2 linked regions of the Xenopus tropicalis genome follow. The protein of the gene in region 1 purifies or fractionates together with the protein of each later gene. This does not show direct contact. Links are inferred from orthologs where the notes say so. Each region holds a gene or a part of one and is shown on either strand. Other genes may lie near its edges.

Region 1 (8,915 bases):
CCTTATGCTACATTGTGATTCTTGTTAGTCTACTATACAACATAAGGAATGTATTGGGTCATTGTCAAAAGCCTGGTTCTCCCTAAGGGCAATGGCGACTGCCTAGAGGAAATCATACTCCTTTCAAGTAACAAAATGCCATGCAGATCTTTTAATTCAAAAGACTTAAAAATTGCATTTTCTTTCCAGATGAATCAAGCAAAAAATGGGTAGGATCATTTCAAGGCTTTTCAGTTTTAAATGTTACTTTTAGTTATATCATCACCATCTGGAAGTAGAATGTCAAGTAGGTGATAACACACGCGATGTGCCATTGCCCTGATAAATCATCTGTAGATCTATCCATTCCACCTACTTTATGGAAATGGATCTATCTATTCCATCTACTTTATGGAAATTTGGCATAAACTGAGAAAATGTACTCTTTATGCTTCATTGGGGAGATGCAAATACTTTCATAGTACAGTGACATAATACTTACAAGCTAGCTTTTGCCCTTGATCTTGCAACTACAGGTGTTGATGGAATAGCATCATCCCCAATCCACATTTGAAGATAAGCAGCAGCGGCAGGCTTTTCATTCTGCAACAAAAAGGAAAAAAAAAATATTATATAATATAATTCTACTTGTAGGGAAGATTTATTTATGTCTGAAACACTAAAAATGTAAATGATATAAAAGTTGAATTATTAGGCTTAAACATTTAGGTTGTATTTTATTGTGAGAATGCACATTAAACAGCACAATAATCACAATATTTCCCTAACTGGAACATCAGTTAGGGAAATAATTTGAGGGACCACAGTCTATCACAGTACTAATTAGAGCCAGTAAGTTGGTCTCTAAATAAAAAGAGCAACATGGGCAATTTTGTATCCAGAATAAACTAGAGCAAGAATCCTGAGCTGCAGATCTGTAGGGACAGCTCTTCTTATGTAGGAATGACACTGTATTACTACAGAAATCAATGTAATTATGCATAAGATAGGCAACAGTTGGGAAATGCACGTGAGCAACAAATTTAAGAATGCAGTCTTCAAATGTATGACAGTATCTTTCTCCAACATGCCTTTAAATGACTCTGTAATGTCACTGTATACTTGTGTTTTGTCTCCACCATGTCAAATTAAGAATCTCACAGTGCACAAATGCAACACATGTTAAAACTCGTAAACTGTACAGGGCAGGGACCTCCTTCCTCTTCTTTTGTTAACAATCAGACTTAACCTTTAATGTAATTCTACTTTGTATTTATTACTGTATTGACCTACAGTAATTGTTCTATATGCAGCACTGCATACATAAGTAGCACTATATATACATGCATCCTATCAGCCCCGTCTTAGCCTTAACCTACCCTAATGCAATTTTCAGCAGAATATCTAACAAATAAAAACAGGAATTTGTATATAAAATCAATCATGTTGGTTTTTAATTATACCCCAAAAAACAAAGCCCAATTAAAACCCTTGAAGCTCATTACCTTTGGAGCTATCCTGTTAACAATATCAGAAATTTCAACAGTACATTTGCTCGCAGTCTGTTTTTTTCTTCTTCCATTTTCTAGAGCATAAGAATTTCACAGTAAATACATGCAAAATTGAAAACATAAAATGGAAAAAATAATCAATTTAAATCTAAAAATAAATAGATATGCCTTTTTATCTTAAAGGTTATAAGGACTCATTCATGAAGTAAGGCAAGTGCAAAATTGTGCACTCAAACTCTATTCACAACACCATGTGTGTCCAATACACACTGCTCTATACTTGCCCCAAAACATCTCTTAAGTTGTTATGCAATGTACAGGGCACCTATATGCAAGGGAGCCCTAAATTGAACACCTGCCTTGAGTTAAGGGTAATATCTAGGGTCTGGCACGCAACAAACTTCCACCCAATAATAACTGCACTGGCATTTTTGTGCCTATAGCATTGTATTTCTATTTATATATGAACACTACAATGTACAACATTATCTCCAAAAATACCAAAACCAGGATTTATGTAGCTAATAAAATAAACAGCCATTCAGCATTCAAGTGGTATGGTTGCCAATATGTAATGGAACAGAGGTACTATCCCCAAGCCACATATAAGAGGTGCAGAGCTTCTATATTACAGCATCACGTTCGCTAGCAAATGTATAGTTAGTGTTTCTTTAAAGGCGTAGTTCACCATTAATTTAATGTTTTGTGAATTAAAGAATGCCATGTTATTAGCAATTTTTCAGTTGGTCTACATTTTTTATTGTTTTTATTTGCCTTATTTTGGCAATTTTATTATCGCTGTTATTTTAAATTGGAGAGCTGCTGAAAAAAAAGTTAAAATATTTAAAATCCACAAAATAAAAGATTTAAGACTAATTGCAAATTGTCTAAGTATATCACTGGCTACATCCTAATAAATGTTAACTGAAAGGTAAACTAACTAAAACAAAGCAGATCAGTGAGGTTTTATTACTACTTATTTATTTAGGGATTAGTTTTTTCCAGGTACGTCATTTAGGCCACTGGCTGCCAGGTTAAATGGGACCTAGCCATCAGGTAACATTAAATTCCCAATATGTGTGTGAAACAGCTAATTGTAAACCTCGGTGAGAGCAGATTTTTAACAAAGCAGGTTTTCAGAAAACTGCGAGCACCACTTATCTGTCACTTTAATTCCATTAAGAAAATTGCATAATATGGCGGTTAGAAGTTTCTAAAACATGCTCGAGAAAACCTAGTAACAGTGCTACCTGTAGCAAAAACAGGAATCAGCGACACAGTTGCATACATATGACCAGTTTGGCCTGAAAATTTGATCGAATTTAACCTTAATGCCCAACTGTATGGGTGTATTTGTTACTATTGGATTGCAGAAAGTCTGCTCAGACAGTGTATGAAATCTGCCTATGCACAAAACATTACCAATATGCCTACGCAGCAAACATTACCGATTTTAAACGCTGTCGGCGAATATGGATCCCAAAAGATTTCATGTTGTTGATCAATGTCATTGGAGGGAGAATTGAAAGCTGGAGAGGAGTGTTTGCTTCTAGACAACCTTTTTGGAGTTTTCTTGTACGAAGTTGATTCTACGGGAACGGTTAAAGAGAAACAAACACTATTAAGCGATGCACTCATCACACTAGAAACACAATGGGCTGTATATGAATGAATCAAAAACTGACAGAACTCAGTATTATATCTTTATATTGCATTACAAATACAGTACATGTTCTGTAGTACCCTTAAAGGAGAAGGAAAGGCTAAGTCACTTGGGGGTGCCAAAATGTTAGGCACCCCCAAGTGACTTAGATCGCTTACATTTTACCCCGGGCTGGTGCCCCTGTACGGAGAGAACAGCACCAGCCCGGGGTAGCAGCGAGCGCTTCCTCCTTCCTGTAGCGCCGCGCGCGCATGCGCAGTAGAGTGAAAAGCCAAACTTAAACAAGAAAGTCGGCTTTTCACTCTACTGCGCATGCGCCGGCCCACGGATTTCGCCGGCAGAAGAGAGAGGAAGAGGAAACACTCCCTGCAGGTACCCCGGGCTGGTGCTGTTTTCTCCTAACAGGGGCACCAGCCCAGGATACAAGGTAAGCGATTAAAGTCACTTGGGGGTGCCTAACATTTGGCACCCCCAAGTGACTTAGGCTTTCCTTCTCCTTTCATTAAAGGAGACATATCCTATAAAAATAATGAATGTACCAATGAATTATACTCCTCTAGATATAGAAGGATTGTGCTTAAAAAAGTTGTGTTTCTGACTGATTTATTGAGAAATTCGCCCAAAACCCCACTAGCCCCGCCCATCTGTTCCACTTCCTGCTGGCTAAATTCTCTGGATGAGCTGGGGAGCCGGCGGCCCTCCGTACCCTGCACTGTAGGATAGGAACCAATCAGCAGCTAGGCTGACCTGATAGGGAACTGAAGCCTGTCTTTGCTTGTGTGACTGCAGGGCTGTGATTGGCTCTCCCCCTCTTACTGTGCTTCTGGCAGGGACCGTTAGGACACGCCCACCCTTCATTTGAAACACAGATATGGACCTGAGTGGATCTATAGGGAGCTCCAATAATGTTTAGCCCAAAGTGAAACCAACACCATATATTATTCATAACTGCCTACAGGGTTAGGGTTTTCCCATTTATCCAAGTAAAGTAAAAGTTCCTATAATGTATATGAGACTTAGACCAAGGGAAGAAGTACAGAAGAACCAAGGAGATGGCAGGACTCTTATTATGCACGTCTGCAGGTCAGGCTGTCAGTAGTAGGGTAGGCCTGTCCTGCACAGAGGCAACTCCAGAGGACGGCCATAGGGACTGTTCCTCTAGGTACAAATCTCTCCCTCCCCAGAAGCTCTCCTGGGGTTCAGGGTCCCCCTGGCTTGCGGCTAAGGGATGGATGGGGGCAGGGCACAGCGATACCAACACTGGCAGCAGTGAAACGCTCTTCTCTAACTAAATAAGCGATTTTTTCTTTAAAACTAACAGAGCAGCTTTACCCTCCGCACATAAACCCGCAGCAGATTTACAATCTTCCAGGCACCGGAAGTAGAGTCTTTCAACCCATTTACAATAGAGAGCGAACCGCTGCAGAGAAATGCCTACCCCCGGAAAGTGCCGCTTCCTGCGGGGCAGTCCCAACTTTCCTTACACAGCCCGCAGCCCCGCACCGCTGCTTAAACATCCCGCTACTCCGGTAACATCCAGCTCAGCAGCTCCTGCCTGGCACCGAGTACTGACGTCACAAGTCTCATCTCGCGAGAGTGCGGCGCACGAATACGTCTATAAGCGCGGTGACGCGGTACGTACAGCTTTGTTAGGGAATGAGGGCAATCCTCTGTATGTGTTATGTAATGACAAGCCGGTAGTTTGCTGTGTGTATGGCAGGCTGTGGCTACTTTCTATGTATTTTGGGTTTTTTTTCCCAATAATATGCCCACTGACTCAGCTACAAATATATGACTTAAACTTAGCACTTTATGTTTTCTCAATAGAACAAATAACCTACATTTTTTCTTTGCCAGGTGGGTACTGGCTATAACTCAATGGCTTCCACTGGAGTCTTTGCCTCACTAAAGGGCAATACACATTATAGGGCTGATTTACTAAGACACGAATTTGAATCCGAATGGGAAAAATTCCGATTGTAAAACGAACGTTTTGCGAGTTTTTCGTACTTTTTGCGATTTTTTCGTAAATTGTCGCGACTTTTTCGTAGCCGTTACGACTTGCACGAATAGTCGCCACTTTTTCGTAGCCGTTACGATATGCTCGTATCTTGTCGCAACTTTTTCGTATTGAGCGCTCGTAACCTGCGGGCAAAACTTTCAGACTTAGCATGATTTTGGAAGCCTCCCATAGAGCTCAATGACACTCTGCAGCTCCAACCCGGCCCAAGGAAAGTCTCCCATAGGGCTCAATGGCACTCTGCAGCTCCAACCTGGCCCAAGGAAAGTCTCCCATAGGGCTCAATGGCACTCTGCAGCTCCAACCCGGCCCAAGGAAAGTCACCCATAGGGCTCAATGGCACTCTGTAGCTCCAACCTGGCCCAAGGAAAGTCACCCATAGGGCTCAATGGCACTCTGCAGCTCCAACCTGGCCCAAGGAAAGTCTCCCATAGGGCTCAATGGCACTCTGTAGCTCCAACCTGGCCCAAGGAAAGTCTCCCATAGGGCTCAATGGCACTCTGCAGCTCCAACCCGGCCCAAGGAAAGTCTCCCATAGGGCTCAATGGCACTCTGCAGCTCCAACCTGGCCCAAGGAAAGTCTCCCATAGGGCTCAATGGCACTCTGCAGCTCCAACCCGGCCCAAGGAAAGTCACCCATAGGGCTCAATGGCACTCTGTAGCTCCAACCTGGCCCAAGGAAAGTCACCCATAGGGCTCAATGGCACTCTGCAGCTCCAACCTGGCCCAAGGAAAGTCTCCCATAGGGCTCAATGGCACTCTGCAGCTCCAACCTGGCCCAAGGAAAGTCTCCCATAGAGCTCAATGGCACTCTGCAGCTCCAACCTGGCCCAAGGAAAGTCTCCCATAGAGCTCAATGGCACTCTGCAGCTCCAACCTGGCCCAAGGAAAGTCTCCCATAGAGCTCAATGGCACTCTGCAGCTCCAACCTGGCCCAAGGAAAGTCTCCCATAGGGCTCAATGGCACTCTGCAGCTCCAACCTGGCCCAAGGAAAGTCTCCCATAGAGCTCAATGGCACTCTGCAGCTCCAACCTGGCCCAAGGAATGTCTCCCATAGGACTCAATGGCACTCTGCAGCTCCAACCCGGCCCAAGGAAAGTCTCCCATAGGGCTCAATGGCACTCTGCAGCTCCAACCCGGCCCAAGGAAAGTCTCCCATAGGGCTCAATAGCACTCTGCAGCTCCAACCCGGCCCAAGGAAAGTCTCCCATAGGGCTCAATGGCACTCTGCAGCTCCAACCTGGCCCAAGGAAAGTCTCCCATAGGGCTCAATAGCACTCTGCAGCTCCAACCCGGGCCAAGGAAAGTCTCCCATAGGGCTCAATGGCACTCTGCAGCCCCAACCCGGCCCAAGGAAAGTCTCCCATAGGGCTCAATGGCACTCTGCAGCTCCAACCCGGCCCAAGAAAAATTCTCCCATAGGGCTCAATGGCACTCTGCAGCTCCAACCTGGCCCAAGGAAAGTCTTCCATAGGGCTCAATGGCACTCTGCAGCTCCAACCCGGCCCAAGGAAAGTCTCCCATAGGGCTCAATGGCACTCTGCAGCTCCAACCTGGCCCAAGGAAAGTCTCCCATAGGGCTCAATGGCACTCTGCAGCTCCAACCCGGCCCAAGGAAAGTCTCCCATAGGGCTCAATGGCACTCTGCAGCTCCAACCAGGCCCAAGGAAAGTCTCCCATAGGGCTCAATGGCACTCTGCAGCTCCAACCCGGCCCAAGGAAAGTCTCCCATAGGGCTCAATGGCACTCTGCAGCTCCAACCTGGCCCAAGGAAAGTCTCCCATAGGACTCAATGGCACTCTGCAGCTCCAACCTGGCCCAAGGAAAGACTCCCATAGGGCTCAATGGCACTCTGCAGCTCCAACCTGGCCCTAGGAAAGTCTCCCATAGGGCTCAATGGCACTCTGCAGCTCCAACCTGGCCCAAGGAAAGTCTCCCATAGGGCTCAATGGCACTCTGCAGCTCCAACCTGGCCCAAGGAAAGTCTCCCATAGGGCTCAATGGCACTCTGCAGCTCCAACCTGGCCCAAGGAAAGTCTCCCATAGGGCTCAATGGCACTCTGCAGCTCCAACCCGGCCCAAGGAAAGTCTCCCATAGGGCTCAATGGCACTCTGCAGCTCCAACCCAGCCCAAGGAAAGCCTCCCATAGGGCTCAATGGCACTCTGCAGCTCCAACCTGGCCCAAGGAAAGTCTCCCATAGGGCTCAATGGCACTCTGCAGCTCCAACCCGGCCCAAGGAAAGTTTCCCATAGGGCTCAATGGCACTCTGCAGCTCCAACCCAGCCCAAGGAAAGCCTCCCATAGGGCTCAATGGCACTCTGCAGCTCCAACCCGGCCCAAGGAAAGTCTCCCATAGGGCTCAATGGCACTCTGCAGCTCCAACCCGGCCCAAGGAAAGTCTCCCATAGGGCTCAATGGCACTCTGCAGCTCCAACCTGGCCCAAGGATAGTCTCCCATAGGGCTCAATGGCACTCTGCAGCTCCAACCCGGCCCAAGGAAAGTCTCCCATAGGGCTCAATGGCACTCTGCAGCTCCAACCCGGCCCAAGGAAAGCCTCCCATAGGGCTCAATGGCACTCTGCAGCTCCAACCCGGCCCAAGGAAAGCCTCCCATAGGGCTCAATGGCACTCTGCAGCTCCAACCTGGCCCAAGGAAAGTCTCCCATAGGGCTCAATGGCACTCTGCAGCTCCAACCTGGCCCAAGGAAAGTCTCCCATAGGGCTCAATGGCACTCTGCAGCTCCAACCCGACCCAAGGAAAGTCTCCCATAGGGCTCAATGGCACTCTGCAGCTCCAACCCGACCCAAGGAAAGTCTCCCATAGGGCTCAATGGCACTCTGCAGCTCCAACCCGGCCCAAGGAAAGTCTCCCATAGGGCTCAATGGCACTCTGCAGCTCCAACCCGGCCCAAGGAAAGTCTCCCATAGGGCTCAATGGCACTCTGCAGCTCCAACCCGGCCCAAGGAAAGTCTCCCATAGGGCTCAATGGCACTCTGCAGCTCCAACCTGGCCCAAGGAAAGTCTCCCATAGGGCTCAATGGCACTCTGCAGCTCCAACCCGGCCCAAGGAAAGCCTCCCATAGGGCTCAATGGCACTCTGCAGCTCCAACCTGGCCCAAGGAAAGTCTCCCATAGGGCTCAATGGCACTCTGCAGCTCCAACCCGGCCCAAGGAAAGTCTCCCATAGGGCTCAATGGCACTCTGCAGCTCCAACCTGGCCCAAGGAAAGTCTCCCATAGGGCTCAATGGCACTCTGCAGCTCCAACCTGGCCCAAGGAAAGTCTCCCATAGAGCTCAATGGCACTCTGCAGCTCCAACCTGGCCCAAGGAATGTCTCCCATAGGACTCAATGGCACTCTGCAGCTCCAACCCGGCCCAAGGAAAGTCTCCCATAGGGCTCAATGGCACTCTGCAGCTCCAACCCGGCCCAAGGAAAGTCTCCCATAGGGCTCAATAGCACTCTGCAGCTCCAACCCGGCCCAAGGAAAGTCTCCCATAGGGCTCAATGGCACTCTGCAGCTCCAACCTGGCCCAAGGAAAATCTCCCATAGGGCTCAATAGCACTCTGCAGCTCCAACCCGGCCCAAGGAAAGTCTCCCATAGGGCTCAATGGCACTCTGCAGCCCCAACCCGGCCCAAGGAAAGTCTCCCATAGGGCTCAATGGCACTCTGCAGCTCCAACCCGGCCCAAGAAAAATTCTCCCATAGGGCTCAATGGCACTCTGCAGCTCCAACCTG
Region 2 (8,164 bases), about 89 Mb from region 1:
CCTCTACTGCAGGAAAGCGCGACCATGCTGATCATGATCCGTTCCCTGGCCACTGGGCTTACATTGCAGGCTTTGATGACGCGGTAAGAACTGATGAGCTCTTTTAAAGAAGCGAAAACAAAAAGCAAATTTGAAACCTGCAAAGAAAACAACAACGCTTACAGTTTTAGCTAGTTTAGGTTGCACTGACGTGGCCAGAGTATTTATTAGCAGAATTTATTGATAACCAAACATAATCATTCAATTTGAGACTGTTGTTCCTCAATTGTACAGAGCACTGAGGGGTGTTATGGGGGGGGGGGTTGTTATAGGAAATATAAGTTTATTTTTAAAGATGTCTGGAGAAGGTCCTGAAATGTTAAATTGTTGACTTGTATTTACTGTAAGGTTTATAGCACAGCAATTTGTCCCCTTGAGTTGCAGGGAAATGCCTTGTATGTGGCAGACACTTCTGCTGATAGTGGAAGACCTCATCATTTTGCTGTTTTTGGAGATAACCACCTTCTGTATCAGCTGCCCTGTGTAATGTTTTGTGTTGTCTCTCTGAGCTGGCTATCAGTCTAAACACAGTGCTGTTTTGCTTTTAATTAAACACAGGTAGAGATACTGCCTTCTCTCCAGAAACCAAAGAAAATTTCTCTAAAAGGTTCAGATGGGAAATCATACATTATGATGTGTAAACCTAAAGATGATCTTAGAAAGGATTGCCGGCTGATGGAATTTAACTCTTTAATCAACAAGGCAAGTGACACCCAGCAATTTATTTAGTCAGGGGAATGACATAAAATAAGAATACCCTCTTCTACCATCTCTGTCTTAGGGCTCTGGTACACGGGGAGATTAGTCGCACGTGGCAAAACTCCCTGCTCGCGGGCGACTAATCTCCCCGAGTTGCCTTCCCCCTGCCATCCCACCGGCGAACATGTAAGTCGCCGGTCGGGATGGCAGACGCGGCAGGGCGATTTCGGGAAATCGCCGAAAAAGCCTCGCGCGTCTGCCATCCCGCCGGCGACTTACATGTTCGCTGGTGGGATGGCAGGGGGAAGGCAACTCGGGGAGATTAGTCGCCCGCGAGCAGGGAGTTTTGCCACGGGCGACTAATCTCCCCGTGTACCAGAGCCCTTACTGTCTTTCATTTCCTGTACAAAGGTATTGTTTAGCGGTCCTGAACATAATTTTTTTAATTTAATGATAAATTTGAGCAGTCCTGTAGCTATTGACCTACTGACATAGGATTTCTTACCTATCAATATTGAAACAATTATGTATTATAAATATATATATATATATCCAAAATATTCTAAACATACAATGTTCACCTTTATTTGAACCTCTTGTTATAATAATGTATTGCTTGAGCAGTGTTTACGTAAAGATGCCGAATCACGAAGGAGAGAACTTCATATACGGACCTATGCTGTCATTCCACTGAATGATGAATGTGGAATAATAGAGTGGGTGAATAATACTGCAGGATTCCGGAACATATTGATCAAGCTGTACAAGGAAAAAGGTACATAAAATAACCCTTTCAAGGGAATGAAAATGATCTAAAAGCATTGTGTAGGCATTGCGCACCAGCCATAGTGCCTCAATGTCTTAACTGCAATTGTAGGGTTATGGTTACAATAATGGAATATATACAGATGTAGTCCTTTTACAGTTTTGGCTGTCTGTGTACTGGTTCACTTGACACTTTTGCTGTTGTAAACTAAAAATATCATAACAAACAGATAGAAAAGGACTATTGCCCATGTCAATAGCTCAGATTTTTTTATTCTATTTAGAGTTACTTAATTTATATTTTTAGCACAGTCTTTTACTTCTCAGATATGTGTTTAGGCTAGTGGCACATTAGGTAATCAGCCATCTTAGCTCTCTTTTATCTTGCCCCACTAGGTAAGTGACCAACCATGAAGCAGAAGGCATTCATAGACTCCTTAGGGCAATGGCACATGGAACGATTTCAGGCATTTTGAACTCTGTTTTTACAAATAATCTATTGACAAGCAATAGTGGCCTGGAAACTTGCAAGACAAAATCCAGCATAAATACATGATTAAGAAGGAAGTAAATAGAAGAGCAATATCAGGGAATAGATGTCTACTGAAAAAAAGTACTTGTTAAGCTGGACTAGCAGTAGTGCCGTTAGCAAGTAAAGCCAAATTATTACTAGTGCTTGGCATAGGGATCAGATATCATATCATTGCATTTAATAGCACATATAAATGGGCAGATAGGTCAGTCTATTGAATTTGAGTGACAGATGCACTTAGTAACTTGTACTTTTATTTTTACCTTTGACAGGTATATACATGGGAGGAAAGGAACTCCGGCAATGTATGCTTCCCAAGGGAGCACCGCTGCAAGAAAAGCTGAAAGTCTTTAAAGAGGCTCTGTTGCCTCGTCACCCCCCTTTGTTCCATGAATGGTTTTTAAGAACATTTCCTGATCCTACTTCTTGGTCAGTAAATATATATCGCTAGTAACCTTATTCTTTACTACAGGGGTACACATATCTACACTGTCCTATATGTATTGTTTTGTTGTAAACTGTTAGCATTTATACCTGAAACCATGACTATTTTTAGTAAAGTAGTAAAGTATTAGTAAAGTATTGTTCTTTTATTTATATAGTGCTGACACATTTCTGCAGTGCTTTACAGGCAATATAAATCAGTCCTGCCCTAGTTGAGCTTACAATCTAAGTCCTGTTCACACTAATTATGGTTGATTTGAGCAGAATCCAAGTAACCTTCCCCTATGTTTTGGAGTGTGGGAGGAAACACTAGTATCTGGTGGAAACCCACACAGGAAGAATAGAAAAGCTTCTGTCCGTTAGTTCCCTAGTTGGAATTGAACCTAGAGACCCAACACAGCAAGGCAGCAGTGCTAACCTTTGTGGCACGGTGGTGCCTAAAAGAAACCTTTCTAAACATAAATAAAAATTCTGTAGCGTTTACAAAATTGAATTGATCTTCACTATTTCCCCCTATTCCCCAGCAATCTCTCTCTCTCCTTATGTGTCAGTGTAATGAATTAATGCTAGATTTTGATGGACAGTTAGGTCCCTATGCTTCAAAAATCTTAATGTTGTGTATGCACTCAGAAATAGTGCTTTAACCCAGGTGCAGGTATACTGAGTGGAATTTGACATATAACTGCATACGCGAACAGTTTTGCAACAAATTCTTCTTTGTGTGCCAGCACCTGGGCCGATGCAATGGCTCCCCATGCAGGCACAACAATAGGGGTGGATTCTCGGGTGGCATTAGCCTTAGGTCAAATATATCACTTGGCTTGCCACCACTTTTTACTTCCTAAAACGAGTCCATTTGACTTTTTCTGTTTGCAGGTATAACAGCAGATCAGCCTATTGCCGTTCTACTGCTGTGATGTCTATGGTAGGTTACATACTGGGCCTAGGGGACCGCCATGGAGAGAACATTCTTTTTGACTCACTTACTGGGGAATGTGTCCATGTGGATTTCAACTGCCTCTTTAACAAGGTAAGCTTTACATAAATATGAATGACATTAGTATAGGAGAAAGTGTTAGAGGGCCACTAATATAATTGAACCTGTAGTTTATATAACAATATGTCCAAATGCATGGACATTTGAATCATGCTGTTTAACCACTATACATTTATTGCTTAGGTACTAGTGAAAAAATGACTTAACCTTGTGTTATTTGTACTTTACTGATATAATTGGGTATCAAGACAGAATACACTAAAAAATTAAATGGTATAATATAAAAGGTAAATATTTGATTAAAGTATTTAGTTATAGATTGCAGTTGTGTATAAAGGACAAATTTGTTTTTAATTAGGGTGAAACATTTGAAGTTCCAGAGATTGTCCCCTTTCGCCTAACTCATAACATGGTCAATGGTATGGGCCCCATGGGGACAGAAGGACTTTTTCGACGAGCATGTGAAGTCACTATGAGGTTAATGAGAGACCAGAGGGAGCCACTTATGAGGTAATCTTTTAGTGGTTTTATTTTTGTATCCGTTATGTGCTGCAAGTAGGTCGGCACCAGCTATTATTGTGCAAAAACATTCCAACTCACTTATTCTCACTTAATCTAAATCTAGTCATGGCTACAGAGGGCTGTTTGTTGTAAATAATTAATGTGAAGCGCTGTGTAACTTGCTGTGTTTTTCATACAGTTTACTGGATTTTTTTTCTTAATATTTTTTTTATGTTTGGTCAGAAGTATCAGTTGGATGCTGTAGAGAACTGAACAGTTTATGGCCACCATTAGTGGGTTGCTCCAGGCAAAATCCCACACCTCTAAAGGTCCCCATACACGGTAAGATCCGCTCGCTTGCCGAGATCGCCAAGCGAGCGGATCTTCCCCCGATATCCCCACCTACGGGTGGGCGATATCGGGGAGCTTGAAGTTAAAAAAAAAAATAATCCGATCGTTTGGCCCTGGGGCCAAACGACCGGATTATGTAGGTGGCAATGGGGCAGTCGGTTCGGGGACCGCATCAACGAGCCGATGCGGCCCCCGATCCGACTGAATCTTTTATCCTGGCCGATTGATATCTGGCCAATTTCAGGCCAGATATCGGTCGGCCAGCCCGCTCGTTTCTGCCCCTACATGGGCAGATAAGCTGCCGAGTCGGCCCGTGTATGGGGGCCTTAATAAATTGAAATTACTTGTACACTATTAGAGTTTGCGAGACTCATGTTTTTTCATTTTCAAACACAAATTACTCTCTTGTATCCTCTCGTATGCATACTCAAGCTTCCACCCCCCTCTCTCTCTCATTCGCACAGATCTCTCACAAAGGCACATGCTTGCTCCCTTTCTCAGACACACAGAACTCTCTGCAGAATCAGGCTTTCTCTCTTACTCTCTCACAGTGGAAAATCTATCAGGACAGCAATATAAACACACTTTTTTCTTTCAGTATCTCTCTGTCTGTTGCTCTGGGTTTATTGGGTGGCTGCAGTTTCTCATCTCGCTAGAGCTAACAAATAAGCAGAGGGCATGTACGAGGTTGTGATGGAGGCACTGGGAGACAGATGTTGGCCTAGGTTTTGGGGCTGTACCAATTAGCAGGTACAATATCTAAGCAGAAGGGTCCAGATCCAGACTCTATAACAGCACCTATTCTTCTTGGAAGGCTTTCCACTATATGTTGGAACATTTACTAATCCACGAATCCGAATGCGAATGGGAAAAATTCAAATTGGAAACGAACATTTTGCAACTCGAATTTTTTGCGATTTTTTTCGTTGCCGTTACGACTTTTTCGTAGCCATTACGACTTGCGCGAATTGTCGCGACTTTTTCGTAGCCGTTATGATTTGCTTGTATATTGTCGCGACTTTTTCGTATTGAGCGCTCGTAAACGGGGGGCAAACCTTTCAGACTTTGCATGATTTTAGAAGCCTCCCATAGTACTCAATGGCACTCTGCAGCTCCAACCTGGCCCAAGGAAAGTCACGATACTGAAGCTTGAATGAATCCGAAACTTTCGTACTCTGCGCGACGGCTACGAAAAAGTCGCGACAATTTACAGAGAAATCGCAAAATACCGATCATTACGGAAAAAAACGCATTTGGACGCTTTTCGGACATTCATGGATTAGTAAATGTGCCCCTAAGTCTAAGTTAGCTGTGATGGCATGTACGAGGCCACAGGAGGGCACCAGCAATATATAAAGCATATCTATAAGAAAACTCTGCATGGATTTTAATGCATGGAACTGTAGTGAATGGTATATATGTTTAATAGATTAGGTGTTGCATTAGTTGAACATTACATTCCCTTCAGTATCAACATGTTTGTACAGTAATCTTAATTTGTCGAAAATCTTAGGCTTATGGCACACCAGATATTTAATACTCTGTTAATGTCATTGAGTGTAATTGCAACTGCCTGTCGGTTTGTATTCCCTCTTGGGCTTCTACATGTATATTTCAGGTCCCAGTGCTTTGCAAAAGTGTGCATTTTTGGATCTGAAATCTAGGTGCGACAGTCAGTTGCTATTAGGCTTAGGGCACATGGAGCATTGACTCCATGAGAAGCTTGGGTGCAGGCATATGCAGCAGAGCAGAGGTTGGCCCAAAAATAAGAAAGCCATTATTTTCGTCCCGACCTCTGCTCCACTGCATGTGCCTGCACCCAAGCAGAAGCTGTACTTTTCATTGTGTTTCATAGAAATTACAATGATCTTGTGTAAGGGCAAGGGCAAACGGGTTTATTGTCAGCCTGCAGATATGAACAGGCTGACAAAACCTGTACGCTTGAAAAAAATCTTCCTGTGCCTGCACCTAGAAGCATTGAGTGCAGGCACACACAGCTAATATCTGTTAACAAAAGCCAGACTGGGTGTTTGTGGGTGGATATCGGCTGCGTGTGTCTGCACCCTGGCGAATTCAGTGCTTCCGGGTGCAGGAACAAGAAAAATTTTAAAGCATACTGGCAGGTTGTCAGCCTACGCTTATCCAATCCACCTTGTGTGACCTTACCCTTATGTGACAGATGCACATCAAACTGCCATAGGGTTAAAATGGGGTTGTGTGTGTTTATTGCAGTGTGCTGAAACCCTTCTTACATGATCCTTTGGTGGAATGGAGTAAACCAGCAAGAGGGGGAAGTAAAGGTCAAGTCAACGAGACCGGAGAAGTGGTGAATGAAAAGGTTGGTGTTGTATAAAGTTATATATGTACCTCATGCCGTACAGTATATAAAGGCTCATTTCATTAATTTAAGAATAAGCTTTCTGGGAATGCACAGGTATGTATGAGCACAGAAAAAAAAATCTGCTGCTGCACACCATCTCCTGCTTCTCTCTGCATTCCCAGAAAGCTTCTTGTCTGTCAGGCAGGCACAGAAGGCTCTCCTCTTTGACTGCTCTGTAGTCAGAGAGATAGGGAGCGCTGAACAGGAAGGTAGGGGGGGCTTCATGCTTGTAAAAACAATGTAAAAAGCTACTTGTTGTACCTGTTAAATCACTTCTTTTGTCTATCTGATCAGTTTTCTGAAGGGATGGGAATGGCCTATTTTGAACCTGACAAAATGCTTACATCATCACTTCCAGGCTTTGCTTTTGCTTTTTCCCTGTTGGACCCTTCTGCACTTCTAACCAGTTGCATAAACTGAAAGGCCATTGGTTAATTTCTCCCTTGCAATGATTTAGGCAAACAGACTCAGCATATTGCAAATCTAACATACTGTTATGTTGCACATTTTATGTTAACTATGTATGTTGCAAAGATTGTTCTATTAATGTGATCTGTGATTTGTGAATGTTGTCCAACAACCCCTTTAAGGTGCGGCTCCTACAGCAGCTCAGTGCTGCATCATTTGAGATACATGAAGTTAAAAAGCTTGTAAGTGCACCCCCGTGTCCTGCCTTACATTACAGATTCAGATTGTACCAAAATTCACTAGCTAGTACAAATATATGTGCTAGTTTGTGGAAGGGTGCAATTATGCTGTACTTCTGGGGAAAACGATTTACAAAAAATGTGAATTGAGCTTTTTTTTGTTTTTTTTATTTTTTGCACTTTAACACAAAATGTCTAATTTATTAAACAAATGCAGCCTTCTGATTCAATTTAAAACTTGCACAGTTAATGAACATTGCCAACTACTATACAGAACTATTAGCAGTGATCAGTAAGAATGTCCTTGTCAATTTGCTCTAAATTGCACTGTTGCTGTTTCTCTAGAAAAAATCCTTTTAAACTAGAATGACCATTATTTGTTTTGTTTTCTCACTTTCTTACTTTCTGTTAGGCCAAAACACATGTTCTTGACATAGAGCAGCGGCTACAAGGTGTAATTAAGACTAGGAATCGTGTAAAGGGACTTCCGCTCTCAATTGAAGGACATGTCCATTATCTGATCCAAGAAGCCACAGATGAGAACCTTCTTAGCCAGATGTACTTGGGGTGGGCACCGTATATGTGATGTTGCTCATGTGGAACATCTCTTGTTCTGTCAGATTTTGAATAAGTACATTTGTAATTAACTGTAGATGTATATTTGTTAGAATACGTGTTCTATCATTTCTGGGTTGAGTTACAAGCATATAAGGAACAAAATATGGAAACTTTAAATGTTTTCCTTTCAAAAAGGTTTGAAAATGTCTGCTGTTTTAGGCAGAAAATACCTGTTTATGTTATTACAATAG

The links. The genes of interacting proteins can lie anywhere in the genome.
Region 2: the proteins of etaa1 (region 1) and atr purify together in Homo sapiens (affinity purification with western blotting; 3 studies listed by BioGRID, with this or other methods). This does not show direct contact. The link is inferred for Xenopus tropicalis from reciprocal best matches to the Homo sapiens genes ETAA1 and ATR.

What each region holds. Positions count from the first base shown.
Region 1 is NC_030681.2:30,917,191-30,926,105, forward strand, and holds the start of etaa1 (ewing's tumor-associated antigen 1), read right to left. Parts: upstream 4,704-8,915; 5' UTR 4,671-4,703; coding exon 4,592-4,670; intron 3,080-4,591; coding exon 2,939-3,079; intron 1,565-2,938; coding exon 1,485-1,564; intron 583-1,484; coding exon 482-582; intron 1-481. UniProt on the Homo sapiens protein: Replication stress response protein that accumulates at DNA damage sites and promotes replication fork progression and integrity.
Region 2 is NC_030681.2:119,610,377-119,618,540, reverse strand, and holds part of atr (serine/threonine-protein kinase ATR), read left to right. Parts: coding exon 1-83; intron 84-597; coding exon 598-741; intron 742-1,362; coding exon 1,363-1,513; intron 1,514-2,307; coding exon 2,308-2,464; intron 2,465-3,355; coding exon 3,356-3,509; intron 3,510-3,834; coding exon 3,835-3,986; intron 3,987-6,560; coding exon 6,561-6,666; intron 6,667-7,767; coding exon 7,768-7,941; 3' UTR 7,942-8,164. UniProt on the Homo sapiens protein: Serine/threonine protein kinase which activates checkpoint signaling upon genotoxic stresses such as ionizing radiation (IR), ultraviolet light (UV), or DNA replication stalling, thereby acting as a DNA damage sensor.